Linked DNA regions of Callithrix jacchus. The protein of the gene in region 3 interacts with the protein of the main gene of each other region in a biochemical or structural test. Links are inferred from orthologs where the notes say so. Each region holds a gene or a part of one and is shown on either strand. Other genes may lie near its edges. The genes, in order: SH2D1A, TXK and ERBB3.

Region 1 (3,750 bases), on a different chromosome or scaffold from region 3:
ATAAGGGAACTCCCAATTTGCCCAGTATTTTCTGCTACTTTACAGGGAGGTTTTCATGGAGAACTAAGGGTCATAAAAACTGCATTTATGCAAGATTCACTTTGGGCAAAAAGTTAAATGCTTGAGAATTTCTCATCTGCCTAAGTTAATTCCTTATGTGGTTCTGGCCTACACAGGCAAAAGGCTAAAGTTGTCCTTCTGTCTTATATATTGTACTGAAGGCAATCTTTTGCAGAAGGTAAGATACACAATACTATTCCTGTTTTATAAATATGGAAAGTGAGACCCAGAGAATTTGAGTGACTTTCCCAGAGTCCACACCCTAACCCATCGATGTCCATTCAGTTTCTTACAGTAAAGAACAGAATTTGCCTTGACAGTGTGTTGATTCAAAAATATTTGCTGAGTGCCTATTATGTGTTTCTGTGTTCCTGGTGATGGAGACAATGTCTCTACCCTCATGGAGATTATATTTTTGCAGGAGCGTCCAGCAATAAGTAGGTAAGTAAGCAAGTTATCAGATAGTTTAAAGCTCTTTGAAGAAAAGTAGAGATGGAGCGAGTGTATCAGGGACAGGGAGAGAGCAGTTGTTCTAGGTAGTGGTCAAGCAAGTCCTCTCTGAGGGAGGAGACAGTTGAACAAACATGTGAACAATAAGTGCAGAAATCCTAAGTGGGGGCATTTTTTAGGAGCTTGAGAAATGGCCAGGAGCCCAGTGAGGCTGAAGCCTTAGGTGTATCTTGACTCTCACTATACCCTGTTGTCCCTCCTCTGCCCAGACTTGTTTTGTACTTTCTTTTTCACCTTTGGGTTAAGGAGCATGTTATCTCCTTTGTCAGCTTCCCTAAAGCAGTACCTTTCACCTGCCCACTGCACCTTCTTTCAATGAGAAAAGAGCCTAAGAATCCCAGCTGGTTTTCTTTGCCCTTCCCTAGGTTCCACATGGAAACAATAATGATATAAGCAAAACATAAAGATTCAAGCCCAAGACAATCAATAGCTTCCACGTATTTCCCTTGAAGCCTTTATGAAAAATGTATTTAGAGCATGATAGGAGAGCTGCAACAAACAAGGCTTGACCATTTTTAATAACCAATATACAGTGAAAATCCTCTAACACCAGCATCGGGATCATCTTTCTTCACTGACCCATAAGGTATTTCAAACTCTTGTAGTGTATCATCAGATGCTGAACTTACTACCAAGCATTTAACCTCATTTGGTTTCTGTCTAGAACCTACTATGCAGGGTTGTTGTTTTCATGGATTTTTTTATTCCGCTGACAATAATGCTTGAGCTAGCTAGGTACTTCCTTAGAAATGCCCCCATGATTCCTAAAAGAAATCAACTGAAAAGAGGAGATATAATAATAATAATATATCTTTAGTATTATTCAATGGATAAGAAAACTGGGGGACTGAAAGGTTAATTTGCCCAGGTCACAAGACTAACATCTGACTAGCGCAGGACTACATCTCAGATCTGCCTGACTCTGGAGCACTGGAGCAACGACACAGGTGAATTTGATTCAAAATGAAGCCTTAGACTGAGACATGCCTAGGCAAAGGGCAAAGCTGAATCATAACAAGGGTGTTTTCCCTCCATTCCCTTTAAGACTACTGTGAGTCCTAATGTTTATCAAGAAGGATCCTATTTCTGAAATCCCCTGCCCCACCCCTCACAGACACTACCTTTCTAAAGAATGCTACATCAGCAGATCCAGAGAGATGATTTTACTTTCACACATCCCCCTCCTCTCTCAGCATCTTGACCTAACTGGCATTGCATTCTTAAAGTAATTGACTGTTTCTTAATCTGCCTCCTCTCTCTGAATGTCATGCTCTTTCTTTGGGATGACACTTCAAAAGTCATTTAAAGAGAGCTAGAGTACGGAGCCACCCGATAGGAGTTAAAATGGAAGTTGGGAGCCTGGGTCTTTCTTGGAGCAAAGGTAAACTTTAGACCATATTTCACCACCCTAAAGGGCATTCTCTGCAGCTGCCCCAAAAGCCCCTGGTGAGGGCCTTCTGGAGAGCAGGAGGCCCAGGGAATGAAATCCCCAGCGAGGGACTCAGGCGAAAGTGTGTTCCCTCACGGCCCTGGACTAGACTTGAGGGTGGGTCATGAAGAAGGCCTCAGCAAGCTGCTAACGCCAGCACCCTTGCCCGCCTCAGCCTCTGCCCTGGCCTCAGCTGCCAGTGCCCACCATCCACATGCTCAGCAGGCCCCTGCCTGCCACAGAATACTCACAGCACACACAGGCAGTACACGCCTGGCACGCTCTCGCTGTCCCTCAGCAAATAGCTGCCATCCAGCCCAGTGGCGAGCAGGAGCTTCTCGCCGGTCTCCCTGCTGATTTTCCCGTGATACACAGCCACTGCATCCATGGCCTGGTGGACTCTCGGGCAGGCCGAGGAGGAGGATTGTACAAGGGAGATGCCGCTGCTACTGCAGCCAGGCACAGATCAACCACCTGACTCCCAGTTCAGCCAGATGTGCAAAAAAGAGAGAGGCACCCAAACAACAGGATGTTGTCTACTTGCCTTAAACCTCCTTCTCACACTTCAATTAAAACCAGCTCAGCAATTTAGTAGCTTGGTTTAATCGAGCTTGCCAAGGGCTTCCATCTCCTGCCCCCCAACACAGGGTTCTTACAGAGGGGAGGAAAATTAGAAGAAGGATTTTGCAAGATTTGAGCTGTACTGCCAACACACACCCTTGCACGCAGATAGGGATGCTTAGTAATGCTTCTGTTCTTGCAGATTACTCAGAGGCCACAAGGAATAACTTAGCTCAACCAGCCGGTAAGGAGTTGATGATAGAGGCAAGTTATACATGTCTCTGTCGGTATGTGGACCCATCATGTAGGGCAGAAACATACTGACAGAATGAAAGGACCAAAAGCTCTGAGAACAAAACACTAATAGTTTTATTAGTACTGTCATTATGCAATCATTACTGAACACGGCCATGAAGACTCCTACAGAATCAGACATAGCAGATGAACAGTGAACTTTGGGCAAGTTCTTTTTCTCCTTCTTCCTTCTACCTCATGCAGTCATCTTGAGAAGTCTTGGTCCTGACCAATATTGATTTCTTTCCTAACACCTTGTCCAAGGTCCCAAAGTGCTAGTTGAGATACAAAAGTCACAATGCACATCCAAAGATGTTCCAGATTTAAGTATTTGATGGGCTTTAGATGAGACAATGTAACATTTAACTGGTGATTTGTCTTAATGCAAATTTGTATGTGCCCTTTGGTGTATAAGGCCCACCTTTCAGCATTTTGTCCAAAAAATCTGTTTTAAATCATTTGCAAGCGTTGATAATTTTGTTGTAACTTTTATTGTCTGTTGTTTCTAAACAATGTTATTTCTTCGATTGATGCTAAACTGTCTTTAATATTTTAAAACCTTTCAACCTCCATTTTCTTCTCTGAAATAAAGCATTGCTTCTATTTCAAAATGTGCTAGGTAATATTTCCCCAAAACTTCTTGCATTTTCACTAGAGTAAGAATTTATTGCTGAAGCTGAATGGTCTTATACATGTACCTTTAGATTATGCAAAGTACTTGTAAAATTGGAATTAAAATAACTGAAGCTATGTGATCTATTATATGCTTTCTGCAACTTCAGCGTGTAGTTCTTTGAGAATATGGCAATGCTGGGAGCTCAATAGGGAGAGCAATACTTAATTCCTCACATGTCTTACCAATGGATTGCAGGTACAGAGCTGACTTGCACCAAAGG
Region 2 (3,750 bases), on a different chromosome or scaffold from region 3:
TTGCTTTAATCTGATATGACTGAGCTTTGTTGAAGCTTGGTTCCATCGTCATTTAGAATTAAAATCAAAGACAGTATTTTCCTTCCTTCTCTGCACAATAAGGCCCTCTGAGTCTTAGAGGTAAATGAATAAGTATTTCCAAAACTGAACATGGGACCAAATAATCTTCCAAAGCAACTCCCAAAATAAACTTCTGAAAGCACCTCTTATGTTTATTGTTTCTTAATATTTTGTTGCAAGGTGAGCAAAAAGGTAGTTGCCTAGGCGAAAGGCCAGGAGACCAGGTTCTAGTTCTGGATTTTGTCCAGCCTTTTTGGATCACAGTTTACAGCTTAATATGTGTGTGTGTGTGTGTGTGTGTGCGTGTGTATATATACATACATACATACATATATATACATGTATATATATACACGCACACACACACACACACACACACACACACATATATAAAAGTTTAGATATATATAAAAATAAGCTCTCTTCCTTTGAGAGAGCTTCCACGCCAGAGAGAATAATCCTCAAAATACCACACCAATAGGTAGTCCTTTATTTAATCTTTTGGGCAGTCAAATCCTTATATCCTTGTGTGTGTGTGTGTGTGTGTGTATGTGTGTGTGTGTGTGTGATGTATAAATATATCTATACACACACACACACACACACACACACACATATATATAAGGCAAAAGGAAGAGAGCTTAAATCCCTAGTCTGGCAAATCTCATGCTTGGCTGGGTGTGGTGGCTCATGCCTGTAATCCCAGGATTTTGGGAGGCCAAGGCAAATCATTTGAGGTCAGGAGTTTGAGATCAGCCTGGCCAACATGGTGAAACCCCATCTCTACTAAAAAACAAAAATTAGCCAGGCATGGTGCGTATAGTCCCAGCTACTCGGGAGGCTGAGGCAGGAAAACTGCTTAAACCCAGGAGGTGGAAGTTGCAGTGAGCCAAGATCGTGCCTGCACTCCGGCCTGGGTGACAGAGCAAGACGCTGTCTTAAAAAAAAAAAAGTATCATGCTTCTGAGTCTGACAACCATGTGAGTTTTGGGCAAGATTTAAAATTTCAAAGGCACAATTTTCTCACTGGCTAGATAAGAATAACAATTTTCACCTCACTAATTTGTCATGAAGATTTCAGATAATGAATATAAAGGATCATGGCATATAGTAGGTGCTCAATGAATACCTTTATAAAGAAACACACATATTACAATTATGTTATGATGGCTGCCTTCTAATTCAGAAGACTATTCTAATTCTTTCTCTTTTTTTCTAATTTCTTTGGATTTATAAACATCTCCACAGCTCTTTCAAACCAAGGGTCTTCACAAATAACAGTGTCTAGGGAATCTTTATTCTTCTAAAATAAGTACTTATTTTTAACAGTGGTCTTATATTCTATAAAAAATATTTAAAAAACATCTTCATGTGTAATATTATATATGAGGGAAAGAGACATTTAAGCCAGTGTTCACCCTTGACCATGTTCATACTCTTAACTACGTGGAGACTCATGACTTTGATTTTTATTTTGGCCTTTACTCAGGCTCTGACTGCAGATAAGAATCAGTTTTGCCTAAATTTCAATTGCTTGGGAAAGATCCTTGATGATGGATGTCTACACAGAATTGTGAATAAATGCTCCTGTGAACATAAGGTTAAGTCTATATGTTTATGTGATAAAGCAGATAATTTCAGAGTATAAGCACAGCTGTGTTTTAACTTGTTAAATATAGTTTTATTTATATAGATTAAACGTATTATTAAATATAGATATTTATTTATTTATATGTGTGTGTGTGTGTATTTACATAAAGTTGCCAACTGATCCACCATTGCTAGAGCAAACCCAGAACTAGAACTTGGCCTCCAGGCCCTCAGCCCAGAGTTCACGAAAGTCTCATTCTAAAAACAAGTACATCACACCGACTGCTTTCTACGCACATCTGTAGATTTCTGGACACTCTTTTTGTTTTGTTTTTTTCATTTATATTCTCAATGCTGAATCTTTATTAGAATTACATCACCACCACGGTTCGTAAGCTCTGTCACAACATCTGAGGAAATTATCTTTAAATGTTCCCAAGCTCTATACCTTAGCAAAATACAAAAAACAGAAAAAGTCCTCTGCTATTCAAGAATAATAGGCCCAGAACAAATCCCGAAAATAAATGACAAAGCCCATCTTACTTACAAGAGGAAAGGATCATGGCAGCCCCTTCTGCGGGGAGCACACAGAGCACACAAGTCTTCAGTTCTTCTGCGGTGCTCCACTCACAAAAACACATCTTTCAACTGAAATCATAGTTCACCAAAGATGTTTCTCACGGGCAGAGTTAACCCCTCCTATTTTCCTGTTCTGAAAACCTCAGAAGCGTATAAATGACAACCAATGGCCTATATAAGAAAGCTCAGTAATCTACATCCCAATCTCTGAGGGTGTCTGCTATTAGTCTCATCCCCAAAGGTGTGGGTGACTCGCAAACATCATTTTCAAGAAATCACAAAATTTTGGTAAAAGGCACCTTTAAAATCATCAAGTCAAATTGCCCTCTCTGGACTGGAAAGGAAATGGAGGCACAGATACACTAAGGGACTTACCCAAGGCCACACAGGGAGTGGCAGAAACAATTAAATTCTAGGCTCTGGAATATTGAGTTGAGAATGTTCCATCCTCCCACTCAGCAGACACTTTATGTAGGGGAAGTCAATCTAGTAATAACCCTAAAAGGTGACTGGGGCATGGCTGAGAAATATAAAAACAACAACAATACAAAACACACTTGGGAGTTTCACTTCATCCCATTGGAAAGCATAACCATGTGTTAACGAATGAAGGGAACGACTTTAATGAAGACACAGGGATATTCTCACCGCCCTTCCCACTTCCTGTTTAGATTAAGGTTCCTTAGCATTCTGAGTGATGACTGTTATTTTTACTTCAACTTTTGTATAAAAACAGTTTTTAAGTCTTAGTAAAAAATATTTAAAGATTGTTGAATCTTTAAATACTATGCAGCCATAAAAAAGAATGAATTCATGTCCTTTGCAGGGACATGTTTGGAGCTGGAAATGTTGCCAGGAGCTATCTATCTTGTTTTTCCATCAACAGCATACATTGACCATTAGGGCAGGGACTCCATCTTCTCCTCATTCTCTTCCATACCACCCAGTACTTCCCATAGCTCCTCAAGGTGAAAAGGGAAGTATGGGATGGGAGGAGAAGAGAAGGGAAGGTGAGGAAGAAAGGAGAAAAGGCTGACAGTGATAGTAAGGTAGAGTGTACCAGGACTGACCCCTTGAATGAGCTACAAGTCAGTTAAAAGTTGTGCACGGTTAGCAAAGACATGGAATCAATCTGAATGCCCATCAATGAGAGACTGGATGAAGAAAATGGGTATATATACTGGAATACTATGCAGCCATAAAAAAGAATGAATTCATGTCCTTTGCAGGGACATGTTTGGAGCTGGAAGCCATTATCCTCAGCAAAGTAATGCGAGAACAGAAAACCAAACACCACATGTTCTCACTTATAAGTGGGAGCTAAACCGTGAAAACGCATGGACACAGGGAGGGCTGATGAGGGGAGAGCATCAGGAAAAATAGCTAATGCATGCCAGGCTTCATACCTAGGTGATGGGTTGATAGGTGCAGCAAACCACCATAGCACACATTTACCTATGTAACAAACCTGCACATCCTGCACATGTACCCCGGAACTTAAAAAAAAAAATTGTGCATGTT
Region 3 (3,750 bases):
CCCCTTCCTAAACTCAGGCTTTCCTTCTCACTCTCTCCCCCATCCCAACACACTCTAGCAACCTCGGCATCACTTTCCAGCCCTAGAGTATTTTTCAGCAAATAGAGAGAAGCCTGGAGAGAAACAGTAGCAGATGTCCCACACTGAGCCTCCACCCAATTTCATTGTTAGAAGAGATTCATGAAAAAGGCTTTCACCAAGGCAGTACGCTCAAGCCCCCACTAAGCGAGAGCCTAGACTAGAGGCACGTGAGCCGTGTCAGCCTTGGGAGTTCACTCTTCTTTGCAAATGTGGTGGACAATGGGCTATGGGAAATCCTGGATTCTGAAGCCCTACCCCAGTCTCTTTCTTCTGGTTCAGTGAAAGACCATGTGTGTGTGGTGGGGAGTAGGGGGCAGATACCACCTGTTCCAGCCACCCTTCCGTGAGGCGGTGGTAGCTCAGTGGGAATGGAGGGAGGGAGACTGGTGAGGCCCCAATCCCTCCTGTAACATACACCCCTAGTCTGACCTCTTGACCTCCTTATCACTCCCCATGAAGGTTGGCTAGTTCCACCAAAGAGAGCTAGTTCCAGAGGAGCGGGGAACTCCTTGGTCCTTGGGTTGAAATGAAAGAGACTGGGAAAGTTAGTCATTTCTGGACAGCCCCACCCCAACCCCCTTCCTGGCAGGACACCCCTTTCCCAAGTTATGGTGCCAACCCTTCTCCCCAGATAAGGAGGAGCCAAGCTTTCTGCACAAGGAAGTAGTAATGCGGGCACACACATACGCACACAACACACACACGAACATGTACACATTAGTCCTGCTGGCCCAGAAACCTAGAGTTAGTTGGGTTTCCTTGCAGGAAGTATTTCAGGTGGCCCTATCTATCCCACGTGCCCGTAAGTGTTTGTGCAGATTTTGTGTCTGTGCTTGGAAGGCTACAGTGTTAAGAGGTAGCCCAGTTCCCCGCTACCTTAAGGGTAAAGTCCATGTTACACAGACAGAGGGCAAAGGGCCTGGGCAATAAGGGAGCACAAACAACATCTCTGGGGAGAAGCCAGGCAAGCTGGGGAGCAGGGCAGGGGAGGGAATCATAAAAATCCCTGTGGTACCCAGGGACTGGGAGCATAGGGAGGGGCAGTGTCACAGGCCCTCCTTTGGTAGAGAGCACTGGGGGTGGGACAGAGCCAGAATCTCCAGCCCCTCCTCATGCAGAGGCCTCCCCTCCAACATCCCCCACCCCCATCACAGCCAGGACAAAGGGGCTATAGAAGGACTGGGACAGGGCCGGATGCCCAGAGGCTGCAGGACCCAGATAAAGGGTAAAGAGACCCAACCATGCCTGCCTCCTGCCTCCCCAGGGAGGGTGGCCAGAATCTAGTACTCCTGGGTTTCTGGGTGAAGATTACAGGGTCTGGATGGGACAGTTATACAGTCACTCCACTGCTCCCTCCCACGCCAGTCCCCAGACCACCCCCCTCCACCAGCTGGGAGTGTTCACATCTCAAAATCCCAGACTCTAAATTTAGGCCCAGCAACTGTGGGGGAAGCACAGGTGGTTTCTTCCACTCCCACACTGGGGAAGGGGCCCTGGCTGTGCCAAACCCCAAGCTGGGATCTGGAGGGAGGGGAGGAGAGCCACGGGACTTCAATCCTCAGGTGTCCAGGGTCCCAGAGACACCCCAAAGGAGTGGGCTCAGATAGCATGGGAGTCGGGGGAGGACTAGAGAAGAGCAATCCAGGGGTCTGTCTAGGGTCCTAGAGACAGTGTCAGACAATAAACAAAATGGGGACGGGGGCACACAAGCTGGGCCCAGGATAGACTCCCCAAGGTAGGAGGCTTAAAAAGTAGCAGAGGTGCCCTCTTGATCCTCAGGTTGGGGAGAGAAAAGACAAGAGGCTGGGCATCCTCGCCCCTACAGCTCCTGGCCCAGGGCCTGGTACATAGTAGATGCTCAGTAAATATGAGTTGCGTTGACCTAGGTCTCGACAAAGAGACGTTGCTCAAGCTCTACTATTTTGAGGAAAGCGGGCGCCAGCCTCTGCTGGGCCTCCCGCCTGATGTCACCTGAACTTGGCCCTCTGGTTAATCTCAGACCTCCCCAGGGCAGGCTCGCTCACGGAAGAGGAGGTGCCGCTCCTGTTTTTCCAACACCAGAGAATAACAACCCCCTCCAACCTTGTGTAGCTCCGCCCTGTCGGCAAAACAACGAAACTAGGGGTGGCTGAAATCGGTGCGAGGTAGGGGGTAGGAGGCTGGAGAGCAAACCGAGACCCTTCCGCCAAGGTCCCCACCTCCAAGCACCTCCTGTTTACAGAATAAAGGTCTCCGATCCGCTCCCTGCAGGGCCCCTTAGAAGTGTGAACTACTGTTTCAGCCTCAGCATCTTCTGGGGAGACCAATTAAAGGGTCGGCGACGCTCTGGGGAAGCGGGGCTTGAGGGTCCAGGAATGCCGCCCTCGGCCGGACCACGCCGATAACCCGAGCCCGACCGCCCCATTCCCAGGTGGTCCCGGCGGACCCGGGGCAGCACCCACACCCCGCGCCGCCTGGGACCCTGCTCCTGCCCCCGGAGACTGCGCGCACTGGGTTCGGGCTCCCAGGTGCGGAGCCCGCCGGTGTTCCCGCGCCGCTTACCTGCCTGAGAGTTGCCCACCTCTGAGCCCCGGGTCAGGCTGAAAAGCAAGCCCAGCACCTGCAGAGCGCCGTTCGCCCTCATGACTGCGGCGGAGGGTGAAGGGAGCCCAGCCCAGTCCGGCCCGGGGGTCCCGAGACTAGGACATCGAGGCGAGAGTCACCTGAGCCGCCAGCGAACTGGTGGCGGCTGCGGCTGCGGCGGCGGCAGCGGCGGAGTTTACGAATTGCAATCGGAGCCGGAGCCGGAGTCGGAGTCAGGGGCGGGATGGCAGGGGAGGGGTGTGTGTGTGTGTGTGTGAGAGAGAGAGAGGAGGGAGGAACGCAGAGGGAAGGGGGTGAGTCACGGCCGCGCCCCCTCCCGCGCGAGGCTGGAGTAGGGATTGCGGAGCCTCTGACCGCCCGCCCAGAGCGCGCCGCGCCACGCCCTGCGGCCCCGCAACTTGGCGGAGCAGATCGAGGATGGGGCTCGCCCTAATTTTTCTACGGGAGCTGGGCCAAGGGGAGGTCGAGATTCCAAAATGCCCCCAGATCCAGGGAAGGGTAATGAATGAGGGTGGGGAAAGCGCTCCGAAGCCCTGCCCCCTGAAAGTTGGCCTCGCCCATTAAGCAAATCACTCAACTCCCCTAGCCGGTTGGTTCACTTGGTGGATTTTCTCTCTGAATGTGAATATTTCTCTCTGTGTGTTTTTGAGGGGGAGGGTGTTTTTTGCCTCAAGTCTGGGCCACCTCAGTTTCTCCCAGACTCGAAACCCCATAACTCATCCACCCAGCCCAGGAACCCGAGCCACAGAGGCTGCGTGAAATTGCACTGTCTCCGGCCGCTTCCTCCTCCAGACCCGGCGCCGGCCCGGCCTCTCCCGGGGATTTGGATGGGGGGCGGGGGCGGTTTCCAGCCTGGGAACAGACCCCGGAGCCCGCCTTTCCACTTCTACCCCGGGAGGGGCTCCCGCACCTGTCGCCGTCCCCTCTGCTGCCCCCCACGGCCGCCTGGGAGAACAGCTGCCTCCCCTTCCACACGAGTCTGGCGGCGGCGCCGTCCGAGCGGCCGCAGTTCCCGCCGCTCTTCTGGGGACCCAGATAGGCTCACACCGTCCCAGGTGCCTTCCAAGTCCAGGCTCGCGCAGGAAA

What was found.
Region 1: the proteins of ERBB3 (region 3) and SH2D1A form a complex in vitro, tested with the Homo sapiens proteins (2 studies listed by BioGRID and IntAct, with this or other methods). The link is inferred for Callithrix jacchus from reciprocal best matches to the Homo sapiens genes ERBB3 and SH2D1A.
Region 2: the proteins of ERBB3 (region 3) and TXK form a complex in vitro, tested with the Homo sapiens proteins (2 studies listed by BioGRID and IntAct, with this or other methods). The link is inferred for Callithrix jacchus from reciprocal best matches to the Homo sapiens genes ERBB3 and TXK.

Annotation. Positions count from the first base shown.
Region 1 is NC_133524.1:120,100,328-120,104,077, reverse strand, and holds the start of SH2D1A (SH2 domain-containing protein 1A), read right to left. Parts: upstream 2,476-3,750; 5' UTR 2,388-2,475; coding exon 2,251-2,387; intron 1-2,250.
Region 2 is NC_133504.1:145,712,252-145,716,001, reverse strand, and holds the start of TXK (tyrosine-protein kinase TXK), read right to left. Parts: upstream 2,301-3,750; 5' UTR 2,292-2,300; coding exon 2,198-2,291; intron 1-2,197. UniProt on the Homo sapiens protein: Non-receptor tyrosine kinase that plays a redundant role with ITK in regulation of the adaptive immune response. Regulates the development, function and differentiation of conventional T-cells and nonconventional NKT-cells.
Region 3 is NC_133510.1:63,588,278-63,592,027, forward strand, and holds the start of ERBB3 (receptor tyrosine-protein kinase erbB-3), read right to left. Parts: upstream 2,851-3,750; 5' UTR 2,705-2,850; coding exon 2,623-2,704; intron 1-2,622. UniProt on the Homo sapiens protein: Tyrosine-protein kinase that plays an essential role as cell surface receptor for neuregulins.